Daphnia pulex: one gene and its partner. The protein of the gene in region 2 purifies or fractionates together with the protein of the main gene of each other region. This does not show direct contact. Links are inferred from orthologs where the notes say so. Each region holds a gene or a part of one and is shown on either strand. Other genes may lie near its edges. The genes, in order: succinate dehydrogenase assembly factor 2, mitochondrial-like; succinate dehydrogenase [ubiquinone] flavoprotein subunit, mitochondrial-like.

The links.
Region 1: the proteins of succinate dehydrogenase [ubiquinone] flavoprotein subunit, mitochondrial-like (region 2) and succinate dehydrogenase assembly factor 2, mitochondrial-like purify together in Homo sapiens (co-immunoprecipitation; 3 studies listed by BioGRID and IntAct, counting the BioPlex papers as one, with this or other methods). This does not show direct contact. The link is inferred for Daphnia pulex from reciprocal best matches to the Homo sapiens genes SDHA and SDHAF2.

The regions. Positions count from the first base shown.
Region 1 is NC_060019.1:9,163,074-9,169,856, reverse strand, and holds succinate dehydrogenase assembly factor 2, mitochondrial-like, read left to right. Parts: upstream 1-3,957; 5' UTR 3,958-4,035; coding exon 4,036-4,095; intron 4,096-4,158; coding exon 4,159-4,214; intron 4,215-4,281; coding exon 4,282-4,362; intron 4,363-4,430; coding exon 4,431-4,704; 3' UTR 4,705-4,759; downstream 4,760-6,783. Other genes in the region: uncharacterized protein LOC124191419, read right to left, coding at 1-23; probable DNA-directed RNA polymerases I and III subunit RPAC2, read left to right, coding at 1,420-1,576, 1,633-1,674; electron transfer flavoprotein regulatory factor 1-like, read right to left, coding at 1,712-1,767, 1,853-2,003, 2,074-2,106; cysteine--tRNA ligase, cytoplasmic-like, read right to left, coding at 4,790-4,959, 5,032-5,902, 5,977-6,167, 6,247-6,474, 6,540-6,783.
Region 2 is NC_060026.1:13,762,778-13,770,964, forward strand, and holds succinate dehydrogenase [ubiquinone] flavoprotein subunit, mitochondrial-like, read left to right. Parts: upstream 1-3,520; 5' UTR 3,521-3,723; coding exon 3,724-3,780; intron 3,781-3,916; coding exon 3,917-4,003; intron 4,004-4,083; coding exon 4,084-4,126; intron 4,127-4,182; coding exon 4,183-4,458; intron 4,459-4,530; coding exon 4,531-4,624; intron 4,625-4,683; coding exon 4,684-5,015; intron 5,016-5,075; coding exon 5,076-5,244; intron 5,245-5,305; coding exon 5,306-5,501; intron 5,502-5,568; coding exon 5,569-5,766; intron 5,767-5,826; coding exon 5,827-6,363; 3' UTR 6,364-6,456; downstream 6,457-8,187. Other genes in the region: acetyl-coenzyme A synthetase 2-like, mitochondrial, read left to right, coding at 153-287, 369-498, 565-661, 728-927, 1,000-1,175, 1,240-1,540, 1,606-1,745, 1,809-2,012 and 3 more; vascular endothelial growth factor receptor 1-like, read left to right, coding at 7,392-7,655, 7,738-7,915, 7,981-8,123, 8,185-8,187. UniProt on the Homo sapiens protein: Flavoprotein (FP) subunit of succinate dehydrogenase (SDH) that is involved in complex II of the mitochondrial electron transport chain and is responsible for transferring electrons from succinate to ubiquinone (coenzyme Q).

The DNA of each region.
Region 1 (6,783 bases), on a different chromosome or scaffold from region 2:
GTGTTTTTCATTGACTGAACCATTCTTCCTGGTTGTGTAGCTCTTCAAGAGCTGTTGACTGGGGAAAAGGAGATGAAATAGAGAATTAATTTAATTTTTTTTTTTTTTTCGATCACTTATCGACTGATTTGCCCGTTTCCTTTTCCTGTTTTCCTTGGGGTTTCGTGGAACGGATGAGTTTCCGTTTTTTGTTTCCACTTTGTTTGAAATCCCTTGGATGTATCTGAAAAAGAATCGATTTAAATTTGGAGCTAGGGTAATACCCAGGCTCCTGCAAAAATCCGGGCTGGATGACTCAATTAAGTGAATCTGGTTTTTTTCTGTTGTTGGTGGCGCCACTTGCGGCGTGCCACTACACTTTGCGAGAGAGGAAATAAAGTTTTTTTTTTTTTGGTGGCGCCCCTTGCGGCGTGCCACTACACTGAGCGTGAGCGAGAAATAATTTTTTTTTTTTTTGTTGGTGGCGCCCCTTGCGGCGTGCCACTACAGTGAGCGTGAGAGAGAAATAGTTTTTTTTTTTTTCGTTTGGATGCACCGATGTTTCGGGATCCTATGTAAGAGGGTTTTTTTTCTTTTTTTTTTTTAAGGAAGGACAGATGGACAGAGAATATTCATTCAATAATTGTATTTAGCGGTTGTTTTGGAGACCTTTCGGCTCCTCTGTGAATGTTGAGAGAAAGAGAAAGATTATTTCTGACTCGATACCATCAGCAAGCGAAGAATGGATACGGGAGGACACACGTGCAATGAAAAGAGGAGACGAAATCCCAGTAGTTTAGCCCAGGCCGATCTATGGGCCAGAGGTTGGGACGGCGTGTTCAATGGCCGCCCCCTCAGGCTAGCCCGACAACGAAAGGCACAAAAAAGTCGAAAGAAAAAAAATGGAATTTTTGGGCATAGGTTCCCCCCTTTTCTACGTCTTTTTTGTTTTTACAATTTAGTAGTTTTAGTTTGGGCAGATTTTAACCACCCAACAACAAAAGAAAGAAACAAAGATAAACGTTTGGGGGGTCTAGAATTGTGTAGCCCCAACCGGCTTCACAATTTTGAGTTTTGAGTGAGTTGATTTGAGTGATTTGAGAGGGAGGACACGGTTATGCACTGGGTTAAAAACCGTTCGAAGGACCATGTAGAAAATGTAATAGGGATGTTCGGCGTGTCGGGCCGTTTACTTACAGTTTCCAAGTTGAATAAATTAGACACGAACAAAACCGTGTCTTTTACCTCTCGTCTATTTTAACACACTCAATATTGTACAGTAAATTGGGGGGAAATAAACAATAGGGGGTAGGGTAACAACGACTGAATTTGGGGCCACCTATCGGGGGCCCCCAAGGCAATAGTCGCGTAGGTGCGCCGGTGTTGTTGTGCGGCGTCCTGATCTCGTCGTCGTCTGTTGGAATGGAATATTCCTAACAGTCCTGATGTTATTTTCTGTGGCTACACCATCCCTCATCCATCTGAAAACAAGTTGCACTTGAGGATTGAAACAAAAAGCATATCTGCTGTTGATGCTCTCAGAGAGGGACTTGAACAACTGCAAAACTTGAGTGATCATATCCTTAAAACATTTGAGGTAATTGTAATGAAACATCTCAGTTATATTTGAGTTAATAATTTGTATTATTACAGACAGCAGTGGTGGACTATAAGTCAAATCAGATGGAAGTGTAAAGTTTTCAATGTTGTATTGATAATCAGAAATACAACCTCATTCTTCGTAATACCTTTTCTTTAATGCACGGTATTTTCTTAGCATGTAGAGTGCTACAGAAACATAAATTATTAAGTATGTATAAGTAAATATTAATAATGTATTTCCTTTCGAAGAAAACAAGAAGTGATAAGTTACCTTCTAGTTCTTTGATAACAAATTCTCCTCTTGCTATTGCTGAGTCAATTTCTTTTTGGTCTTTCAGAGCACTGTTCTTCATGAAAGCATTTTTTAGTTTATTACGAAAATATGGGTAACCACCTGGGTAATCTTTGCCAAGATGTAACATCTACACAGTTCCACAGAAATGTAAGTGAAACATCTTCATGATCATAGTAAAAGCAGTAGGTTCACAATACCGTTTTGTACAATGCACGAGACTGCTGCGACATTTTAAAAACGAATGTGGATTGGTTTTATTTCAAAAATTTTAGTTTTCTCCTTAGTCCACAGCAATGGCACACAAACAAACCAACTGCTTAAACTGGTAGTAAATAAAAAACAAAACAAAATTACAACATGCTAAACATGCAGGACGCCAAAAGGCATAAAAATACGATCAATTTACAAACTCTTGAAAAAAAACATTACATCTACGTGTGAAACGTCAAGGAAAAATCAAGGTGAACTCCTCCTTTTGTAGTACACTTCGACCCTGAGGCAGTACTGTTCTAGTACAACAAAATCTCGTCTTCGTCTGCTGTACTTTTGTTGGGTGTTACTAAAACGCGAAGCGAAACGGCGGAACGCGAAACTCCTAAAACGCGAAACAGTGGTGCGAAACGGTCCCAAAAATTTTCGGGACCGTTTCGCAGTTTAGGCGCTAGAGGTCTTACTAAAATGCGAAACCGTAGACGCGAAACAGTCGACGTCAGTAGCTCAGTGCATTGTTAAAAGCATGGTTAAAAGTTAACTACTTACTAACCTAACTAACTACCGAACTGGCTGTTGATATGTATGTTGGCAGTTGAGTTTAAATGTGTGTACACGGAACGCTCTGTCTCGGTTTGTCTCATTGACAAAAGCAGCAGCAAAAAATAAAAAAAGCAGAAAAGTTGAAATTATTCGAGAGAGAAAAAGAAAAACAAGTTCGTTTCAAAGAGACTAAGTAGTCACGAAGACGTCGTTATCGTTCGTTTTTTTTGGCTTCTTCTTCTTTTTTACTCTTTTTTTCTCGTCGACTGATGTTAAAAAAAAAGAAAAAGTATTAATATGATACTAAAATGTCTACACGGTTGGTACTATTATACACATCATCCCACAGCTTCAAACCAAAAATATAATATTTCAACAGGTGTGGGTTAATGATGATGAGCACCGGTCTCGTCATATCACGACCACCACTTCTTTTATAATTTAGCGTTATAGACGACAAAATAAATCTATTCCGATCAATTCTGATTGCGAGTCAAACACATAAAAATGTCGTCCTTGGGAATATGATTTCTTTTTCTATCAAATTAAAAAAGAAAATAATAAAATAGAAGATTTATTTTTTGGGGTTATTTTGTTTAAGAGCCTTTTTTTTCTAAACGCTCCGGAGCATTCGAATAAAAGAGCATCCATCAGCAATGGCGAGACGTTGTGCAAGAGCTACTTCGGTTTGGCCACGCTCCAAGTGCTTCGACCGGCTTCGACAAAAGACGACGGGAAATACACAGCCATATGGCCAGGGTGAGAAAGCGCAAAGCGGCATACATGCATTCATTGCCTTACTCATTATCAAAATCAATTAACGGCGAATTATCTTGTGTAGAATTGATGCCCAAATAGCTATACCGGCCAGTTTAATTTCAGAAACTATAACCTATTTATGTCTGAGTCTGTAATTATTGACTTTGTACGAAAATATGTATGAATAAACCAACAGAACTTGTTACCAAGCCCATCTTTGTTATTCAATTACTCTTTGAATCTGTTCAAACTACAATAAACGGTGGAATTCAAGATGTTCATATTATTTATTTAAATTAAATAATAGTATCATTTTTAAATTTCAAAAGTAAAATATTTCGCAAGTAGTTTCGCAATTTAGGATGCCCTTGGGCGTTCAGAAATTTAAAAACTGGATATTTTTTATATTTCAAAAATCAAAGGTTTCGCAAATGGTTTCGCACTTTAGGATGCCCTTAGGCCATTGGACCCGCGAAACGGTCCCCAATTTTTGGGACCGTTTCGCACCACTGTTTCGCGTTTTAGGAGTTTCGCGTTCCGCCGTTTCGCTTCGCGTTTTAGTAACACCCACTTTTGTTTACGACTTTTACGTAACTCAGTAAAGACGTTTTGGCTAGCTTCATAATTTATAAAGAAAAATTTTCACAATGGCTCAATCAAATATTTTTTCTCGACTTCTACATCCAATCAGACAGTTAACATTTAGGGTAGGTGTTGATTTGTTAAAGAATGGTTCATGAAACTAAATTGTTATGTAATATTTTCAATAGTGTGATAAAGTTACCGTATTGAGATTTCTGTCATCCGACACCAGCAGCGGAGATATGTATGAATTCTATAATCTTAAGATTTTTTTTCATTGATAGAATAATATAAGTTGTTAAAAATATCAGGTACCCCTCACCTCAAACTGAACCATGGATTCCACCATATGTTGAAAGGGAAAATGAGTCATCCACTTTGAAAAAGGCCAGGTATTGGTTTTCTCTTCAATTACTTATATCTGAGTTTATTGTTGTAAACAATTTTCACATCTCCACAGACTAATGTATCAATCCAGAAAACGTGGTATGTTGGAAAATGGTTTGATTCTCAGCACATTTGCCTCACGCTACTTGGATGGAATGAGTGATGATCAAATGTCTTTATATGACAGACTGATCAATTTACCCTCAAATGATTGGGATATTTACTATTGGGCAACTGGTGTAAGAGAGACACCTGAAGAGTTTAACAATGAAATCATGGATCTATTGAAGGATCATGTAAAAAATAAAGATAAGGAATCAAGATTTAAACAACCTGATTTATATTGATGATTTCCATATGGATGATTGTATTTAGAATTGATTTAATACATCTTAAATCTTATTTTTCCCACCAACTTATTCTTGTATTGCATCAACTCTCATTCTTTGATGAAACCTCCAGCAAGTATGCTTTATAAACTTTTTCTTGGGCTTGCCATAGTTTCTCCAACTTCTTAAGCTGGCCTTTGCTGACTTCTTTGCCATCCTTGTCTAAGGTTGGCATCCCTTTCTCGTCGAAAGCAGAATATTTATCCGTTTCACCTAGATCAAAGAAACACGTTAATCATTTAAGTTATAATGATTGATGGCACAAACAATTAAATCTATCTTTACTTCTGAATAGTTCAGTGGGAGGCATGCGTCGTTTTGCTTCCTTTTCGGCTTCTTTGGCTGCTAATTCAGCCTTTTTACGTTCTTTCTCAGCTTTTTTGGCTTCCTCAGCCAATCTTTTGTCTTCTTTCTCCTTAAGCAGTTCCTCACGTGGGACAAGCTTCAAAGCAGGAGGCTGATTTTCCCGATCTTCGAGTCTTACGCCCAGGTTAGGCAAAACGTCATCTCGAATTTGATCGCAAAGTTCGAGAACGCGTGTTGCACGTAATTGACGAGCCTCTTTTCTCACTTCTTCTCGGAAGTCTGCGAGCGCTTCAAGGACAGGCATTACGATTTCTTCAACATTATCGGTACCTCCACTAGACGATTCAGAGGGGAATCCAAGGGTTTGCTTGCCTTCAATCACGCCAAAGATCTGGAACAACCGCGTTACATATTCGGCAATGACCTTGATTAGAACCCGGTTGGCAGATTGCTTCAGCTGTGCCAGGTATTTATTGCAAGCCGATATCATGCTTTTAATCGCTTCCAGAGACGTTTTAGTGTCTATGTTATCGCAGAGAGCTTCCCGTACTCGATTTTTCGTTTCGACGAATCGGGTGTTGACTTCCTGCTCAGCTGTGCTCCATTTTTGAAAATATTCTGCGGCAGTATTCGATGACGGGCCATTCCTCAAAAGATCCTTGGCATTTAAGAAGAATTCCCTTAGCATTTTTTCGTAACTCGATGCTTCATCCATTGCACTGTCACTATAGTCGAGTGTTTCTTTCCATGGGTGAAGCAAGAAAAAGATGCGCAATTCGCGGCTGCTATTTCTACTCAACGCATCTTGTATGGTGATGAAATTCTTGAGGGATTTAGACATTTTACAACCCTGTAGAATAATGTCCATTATAGTTTTCTATTGGGTGGAAGAACGGAAAAAGTTTACGGAAGTTTGTATAGTACCTGGATGGTCAGATGACCAGTATGAAGGAAATAGCGAACCCATTCATCATTATCGTAGTAGGCTTCAGATTGGGCTAGTTCATTGTCGTGATGAGGGAACTTTAGGTCGACGCCTCCTGTGTGAATATCCATTGATGACCCTAGAATTGCACTTGCCATCACACTGCATTCAATATGCCACCCAGGACGTCCTGAATAGAATAAAATAAAATAAAATAATTTAATTATTAATTCATTACGTTGGTTCGACATTTTTTAGTTGAATTTTACCTTTCCCCCAAGGAGAATCCCAGGAAGGTTCACCACTCTTTGAAGTTTTCCATAGCGCAAAATCGTTAGGTGATTTTTTCTCACTTAACCGATCTTCAGAGACACTTAGATCACCTTCTCCTTCTTGCAATGCCTTTGAGTCACCGTAAGCTTCAGGTACCAATTTCGCATACTTGTGATTCTTTTGCGAATCGAACTTTGAGACATTGAAGTATACAGAGCCATTTGCTATACAATGACAAAAGAGTCATTAACCGTGACGAGATAATAGAAAAAAAGAGATAAAAACTCACCTGAATATGCAAGTCCACGTTCAATGATTCGTGAGATGTAATCCACGATCTCCGGGACATATTCGCTAACACGCGTAATAACATCGGCTGGTAGAACATTGAGAGCGGCCATATCTTTGTAAAACTCTTCTTCCCAATGTCGCGGAAGAGACGCGAAAATTGCGTTATCTGAAACATCCATGCCGTGCTTCGAGTCGAGCCAATCGCTCAAGACGTCTTTGGCTTCAGCCAACAAAAAGCTCTT
Region 2 (8,187 bases):
CAATCTTTTCTCCTTCCTGCACAAGGTGGATTAATTGCGTATGTGGCAAATTGCCAATCGCTAAGAATTGCCTGGTTCCTTCAATAAGCTTAGTTTGGTCGATACGCAATTTATGTGCAGAAGAGTAAAATGAGAGAAACATTTATTTTTAGGTCGGATTGAAACCTGAACCCTTTACTATGGATTCCCCCATTCTCCGCAATTTCAATTGCAGTCTACCTGAGCTGAGACATTTGTTTCCTGGTTGTTCTAGTCACGAAGAGCTTTACAATTTAAGCATCAATCAGGTGAAATACTTTATACGCGCCCTTACAACTTATCCGCTTTCGGAAATCTTACAACGTTCATTAATGACAATCTATTTACAGACGGACCTCTTTTGGGGTACTCTTGCCCGTTTGCGCTTGCGTTGGAACCGCGACTTCCAGCAAGTTTCGGATTGCAACATGGAAACGGGCTCGTTTCGTTGGTTCCTGGGAGGCCAACTTAATGTCTCAGGTAAAGCGCTAATCAAAGAGAACAAGTCAAATGAGTCGAATGATTTTTTAAAAAGTCAATTGTTAGTCAACTGTGTCGATCGCCATAAGGAAAAGGATCCCAGCCGAGTTGCCCTCATCTGGGAAAAAGATGAACCTGGACAAGAGGAGCGGGTCACCTACGGGTTGGATATTAACACCATAACAAATTTTTAGTAAATAAAACATTCATTTTAATTGATTGCTGACAGGGAATTATACACGATGATGAATCAAGTGTCAAATGTCCTCAAGTCCCAAGGAGTGCAAAAAGGTGATAGAGTGGCAATTTATATGCCACCTTGTCCACTCGCGGTCGCCTCAATGCTCGCTTGTGCCCGTATCGGAGCCGTCCATTCCGTAGTTTTCGCTGGATTCAGTGCGGAAGCGTTGGCCAGTCGCATCAACGACGGTATCGACTCCTTAAATGTTTACTTTACTTTAAATTGTAATTGTAATTGTAATTGTAATTGTTTGTTATTAGCTGAAGCTAAAATCGTCATTACTGCTGACCAAGGGATGCGAGGAGGCAAATTAATTGAATTGAAGAAAACGGTTGTGACAGCGGTCGAAAAATGTCCGACTGTTAAAACTATTCTCGTAGCCAAAAGAACAGGAAATCCTGTCGTTTCATCACCTCTTGACGTCGATCTCGATGAGGTTGGTTTAAAATAATTAATTTTTCTATTAAGTGTAACATTAACCAACGGAAAATTTTTGTCAGGCGATGGTTAAAGAGAGCGGCGAATGTGAACCGGCCGTTTTGGACAGCGAAGATTTGCTGTTTATGCTCTACACATCCGGCAGCACGGGAAATCCTAAAGGGATAGTTCATTCCCAAGCTGGCTATCTTCTTTATGCGTCGTTGACACATAGTTTAGTTTTCGATTGCAAAGAAGGAGACATTTTTGGTTGCGTGGCTGACATTGGATGGATCACGGGCCATTCTTACGTCGTGTACGGCCCGTTGGCCAACGGAGTCACGACTCTTTTGTTCGAGAGTACGCCAACATATCCCAATCCAGGTCTCGATTTAACTATTCATTTGATCTCAAATGTTGACGTTACATAATTCTTGTTTTCCCAACAGGTCGATATTGGGAGACTGTCCAGCGACTAAAAATTAACCAATTGTATGCAGCTCCTACGGCCATTCGATTATTATTGAAATACGGTGACGAACATGTCGAAAAGTATGATCTCAGCTCCCTTCGCACTCTAGGCTCTGTGGTATGATTGTAAATTAAGTGTCTAATTAAACGTGATCACGGTTCAACGTTATTTTCTTCCCAGGGTGAACCCATCAATGTGGAGGCTTGGCACTGGTACAACAAAGTTGTGGGCAAAGAGAAATGCGTGGTTGTGGACACTTGGTGGCAAACGGAAACGGGAGGCATTTGCATCAGTCCAACACCCTCGGCTCCTGGATCAGAAATTCGTCCCGGTATGCCGATGAGACCGATGTACGGAATCTGGCCTGCTATTCTAGGAGAAAAGGTAATGTCTAATATTTATTTATTTTCCAAATTCATCCTGATTGGAAATCTGTTCTGCAAAGGGGGAGGAGTTGTTAGGCAATGATGTAACAGGTGCCTTGTGTTTGAAAAAGCCTTGGCCGGGAATGGCACGCACCATTTATGGAACCCACAGCCGCTTCCTGGAAACTTATTATCGACCTTTTAATGGCTTCTATTTTACCGGTGATGGTGCTGTTCGACACAGTGATGGCTACTATCAGATAACGGGAAGAATGGATGACGTTATCAACGTTACTGGACATCGACTCGGTACTGCCGAGGTGGAAAATGCCCTGGTATTACAACAAATATTTTAAATTAAAAGAACTCGGATGACAGTTTTTCGTTCCAACAGGGTCAACATCCGTCTGTAGCAGAGTCAGCCGTTGTGGGGTATCCTTGTAGTGACAAGGGCGAAGGCATTTACGCTTACGTCACTCTTAAGGACGGATTCGTCGCTGATGCCAAGATAGAAGCTGAATTAAGAGGAATTGTCCGGCAGAAAATTGCTGCCTATGCGATTCCGGATGTAATACAGGTATAATAATAAAATGGCAGGAAAATTTCTTAATCATAATGCTAATGTTGGTTCTCGACGTGGTACATTTCAATAGATCTGCCCTAGTTTGCCCAAGACGCGATCCGGCAAGATTATGCGACGAATATTACGTAAAGTTGCGGCGGATGAGACCGACAATCTGGGTGATATTTCAACGTTGGCTGATCCTGCTGTTGTCGAGGATCTTGTCTCTCGCCATCGAACCTTAAAATCAAATCACCTGAATAAAGCTAGGACTAGTAAATTGTAGTGTAATGATTTTGACATTTCATAACGTCAAATGGCATCGACTCTTTCGTCCGTTATACAGTTGACTAAACATCATCGCCATCGAACCCTGAAGATTCAAGGGAATTAGGTCAAATTTAGTCCTTGGAATTATTGACACCTCACGTTTAAATCACCAGCATTAACTAATTTTATGTTGACTCACTCTTTCGACATTCTTCTGTTACTTCTAAACGAAAGCGGATTTCCATAACTGAATGGTTTGAGCTTTTTTCTGACTTCGCCTTCTGCTGCCTTATAGTTGTAAAAATAATTACAAAAGTACAAATAAAAACAACTAAGCCTATGATTTCATATGGTGCTGAAATGTAAGACAATCGCAATGAAATACACTGCCATCTTTAAGAGATTGTGTCGCTTTACTTTCATGATAATCAAAGGATTGTCCCAATAACGAATATCGTGAGCGGTATTTTGCATTCACGACGTCAAGTTCTGATTGGGCTCTAGCTAGTTTACTAGCTAGCTGATAAGTGGCTAACAATATTTGTTTGTTATGCTAGTTAAAACTTAAATTCAAAATATAGGATATTGATTAAAAATCCAAGTCCAAGTACCCGAAATTTTGAGTTTCTATTTTAGGGTAATTTCATTTGACTCATTTCTCTTTACTCAAGTGAAAATATTTTGAATTTTGGGTATTTCTGTTTATCCCATGTTTGTCCTTTGGATCTTCTATTATTATCCGCTTGGAGCGCTAGCTCTACACCGTGCATGATTTTCTATTCATTTCCTTACGTAACTTTTACACGACGTTGTCCGGTCAATTTGGCTATCCAAAAAGTTAGTCAAAAACGCAGTTCTCGTCATCGAAAGAGGTTCAATTTTACCTCTCACTTAAACCATGGCTAACATTTTGAAGCTCTCACTGGAATTGGCTGGAAAGGTGTCCTCTCCTTTGGTGAGTGTCGAAAATATCAACGTCGATAAAACTTAGTTAAACTTTAAAATTTATCAAGATTAGTGTATTATTATGATATTCACCCAAGATATTGACCAAATAACTAATTGAGATGTTACCAAAATGGAATTTGTAGCTTAATGCAAGGCCAGCTGTGATTGGTAACCGTAATTTCCACTTCACCATTGATGGACGCAAGGATTCTAATGTTGGAACAAGCCAGGTTAGTTGTAAAATTTTATTGGTAGACCCATCAGATAGAGAAAAATTAACCCTTTCTATTTGCTGTTGGCTTGTAATCAGATTTCCCGAGACTATCCAGTTGTTGATCACACCTATGATGCAGGTATTTTGATTACATAACAGTTAAACAAAAATTGGTATTAATTGTTTGTTTTATAGTTGTTGTTGGTGCTGGTGGTGCTGGACTTCGTGCAGCTTTTGGCTTGGTTGAAAAAGGATTCAAAACAGCTGTGATCACAAAGCTGTTTCCCACCCGATCACACACTGTTGCTGCCCAAGGTGGAATTAATGCAGCTCTGGGAAATATGGAAAAAGATGACTGGAAGTGGCACATGTATGACACTGTTAAAGGCTCAGATTGGCTTGGAGATCAAGACGCTATCCATTACATGACCAAAGAAGCTCCTCACGCAGTTATTGAGTTGGAGAACTATGGTATGTCCCACTTATCAATAATTTCTTCTACAGCAGACAATTGATCATATTTCCCCTTCGCATATCATTAAGGTATGCCTTTTAGCCGCACCCAAGACGGCAAAATCTACCAGAGGGCTTTTGGTGGACAGTCCTACAATTATGGCAAAGGTGGACAAGCTCACAGGTATACCTAAATTATTAAAACTTCAAGGCAGAAATTAAAAATCCTTAATTATTAACTAGATGTTGCTGCGTTGCTGATCGTACTGGCCATTCTCTTCTTCACACCTTGTACGGCCAGTCTCTTCGCTACGATTGCAATTACTTCGTCGAATATTTTGCTTTGGATCTGTTGATGGAGGAAGGCGAATGCCGCGGCGTGATCGCTCTTTGTTTGGAGGACGGATCCATCCATCGTTTCAGATCCAAGAACACTGTTCTCGCTACCGGTGGATATGGTCGAACCTTCTTTTCATGTACTTCTGCTCACACTTGCACTGGTGACGGTAACGCCATGGTGTCTCGTGCTGGACTTCCTCTTCAAGATTTGGAGTTCGTTCAGTTCCATCCTACTGGTAAAGGAATTGCAAATTAGCCTATTAGATCGTTTGGACTAAATTTGACCATAACAATAGGAATTTACGGAGCTGGATGTCTCATTACCGAGGGTTGCCGTGGAGAAGGTGGTTACCTTATCAACAGCGAAGGCGAACGATTTATGGAAAGATACGCTCCAGTGGCTAAGGATTTGGCCTCACGTGACGTCGTATCTCGTGCTATGACTATTGAAATCCGTGAAGGACGGTAATATCTTTGCCAAATCAAAGAAATGTATAATTATGCTCAAACTTTGATGCTCTTGTAGCGGTTGTGGCCCCGAGAAGGATCATGTATACCTTCAACTTCATCATCTTCCTCCACAACAGTTGGCTGAACGCCTTCCTGGTATTTCTGAAACGGCCATGATTTTTGCCGGCGTTGACGTCACTCGTGAGCCGATCCCAGTGTTGCCTACCGTCCATTACAACATGGGTGGCGTTCCCACGAACTTCAAGGGCCAGGTAACATCGCTTATCATCTTGTTTGCAAATGAAACGACTCCTGAAATAATTTTATTTTCATCCCCAGGTTATTACGCACAAAGATGGAGCTGATGTTATTGTACCTGGTTTGTACGCTGCTGGAGAAGCTGCCTGCGCATCCGTGCACGGTGCTAACCGCCTGGGTGCCAATTCTTTGCTCGATTTGGTCGTTTTCGGCCGAGCATGTGCCCTAACTATTGCCGAAGAGAACAAGCCATCCGAAACTATCGGAAAATTGAGTCCGGTAATATTCGTTTATTTGATTTTCTATGATTTTGTGTTGTTCAATCATTTGTCTTGATAGAACGCTGGCGAAAGTTCCGTGGCGAATTTGGACAAGCTTCGTTTTGCCAATGGTAGTGTCACCACGGCCGAACTTCGTGGCAAGATGCAGAAAACTATGCAGAATCACGCAGCCGTCTTCCGTACTGGAGACGTTTTGGTAGAGGGATGTAAGAAGATGTCTGATCTTTGGCCATCATTGCACGACATCAAGGTGGCCGATCGCGGCCTAGTCTGGAATTCTGATTTGGTTGAGACCCTTGAGCTCCAGAACCTCATGTTGAACGGCATTCAGACCATCTACAGTGCCGAAGCCAGGAAAGAATCTCGCGGTGCCCATGCCCGCGAAGATTTCAAAGACCGTGTCGACGAGTACGACTTCAAGAAGCCGATGGAAGGTCAACAGAAGCAACCTCTAGAGCAGCACTGGCGCAAGCACACACTCTCCTGGTGTGATCAGGAGAAAGGAGATGTCACTTTGCAATACCGCCCCGTCATCGATGAAACGCTAGACGAGAAAGAGTGTGCGACGGTTCCCCCCGCATTGCGCGTGTATTAAAATACAACTAATAAATTCCTGTATCTATCGCCGTGTTCCGATTGTAGCCACTGAAAATAGACTAATACATTTTACTGAGGTGTTCTTGACAAATTTTTTCATGCAATTTTTGTAAATTTAGGTTGGGAAAATTCTGAAAGGTGAAGTAATTAGATTTTATTGTTTTGAATCATTTACATCTAAGTAACTTTTGATCCTTGAGTTTCTTTTCTCTTTTTTAGAATTCTCCGTCCGCTATCGACCTATACTACCTCACCAAGGCCACGTCAAAGTAATTTGATCTCTTGGTCTTTTCAAGTTGCCCGAGGGATGGAGTACTTAGCTGAAAAAAAGGTAAAAGACACCAGGGTTTTTTTCTTCCTTAATCAGCATTCATTAATTATGATTTCAGAACATTTTATTATTGCTCTTAACAGGTTCTTCACGGTGATTTGGCCGCCCGAATGTTTTGTTAGCTGACAATGGAGTGGCTAAAGTAGCCGATTTCGGAATGGCTCGTAAAATGTATTACGATGAAAGTTACGAAAAGGAAGAGGTGGATGGACTAATTTCTTCAGTGCACTTGATCCTGGTAGCCAAACAATGTTCTGCTCAACAGATCCGTTTAATTCCGGATATTCCAGAACAAGTGCTGGTTGCTGTAGGTTTCAACATCACCCCCAATATGTATTATGTAACCACAGGAAAACAAAGATCTGAGGTTCTTTCAACTATCGAAAATGAAAAATGCCTAAGGCTTTGAAAGAATTACCTTATATGGTTATCATAGGGGTTAAAATCGTTTCCGAGAAAGGAGAAAGCCTCCGCAGCTCCCCCTGCTTCAATGTTGTTTGTTGTCCGTTTCGAAACATCGATGCGACCTTAGTATTCGAACTGGTGTGAGTATTTAAACCATTTCGATTTTTTTTTTTGAAAAGCCTTGAAATCCTTTCGGTGATAATTGATAACCCTTATTGTGTGAGTGTCGTGAATCTAAATTTCATTTTAAAGTGAGAAAGCTTATTCTTCGTGTGTTGTAATTTGTCAAAATGTTTTATGAACCCCCTGTACGACTTTGCATTTCATCAGTCAATTCGAGATGGATAGGAGGACTACTTTTAGTACACTTGATCCTGGTAGCCAAACAATGTTCCGCCCAACAAATCCGTTTAATTCCGTATATTCCAGAGCAAGTGTTTGCTGTAGGTTCCAACATCACCTTGACTTGCATCTTTGAAGATGTAGAATTATATAAGGACAATTCGTTGTGGCAGGCGTGGCAACTGCCCGACTATGTTGCCAAACATCCGGAAGTATAAATCACCTCATAAGTTTTATTGAAAGTTATTTGCCTTTTTTAAATATTTATTTGTGTGTCTCTTATTTTTTTAATAGTTGAGCGATGCAAGCCACCGCCTTAGTCAGACGTATGTTAAGAACGGAACGCACATGATATCGACGATGACCCTCACAAACGCTGAAACCAAAGACACTGGATATTTCGGTTGTACCGTGCGTTTGTTTCGTCTGCGTGACGAGAACTATGAAGTGAAACAATACGTCTACGTTTCAAGTTTGTTATACCTTGTTCATAGCGCAATAACTGATGTAAATCAAGTTTATTGATTGTCCTTTTAGGTAATGACAATAATGTTTTCATTGACGACCAACAAGGTGGCATGAAGAACAGCACCTTTATTTTTGAACACGGAAATTCTGGCCTTGTCCCGTGCAAGTCCACTCATCCTAATGTTACCGTCTCGCTCATCCGCAACTCTCGAGTAAACTAAAATTTTATTCGCAAGACAATATTATGTTAATATAATTATTCAACATTAATAGAAT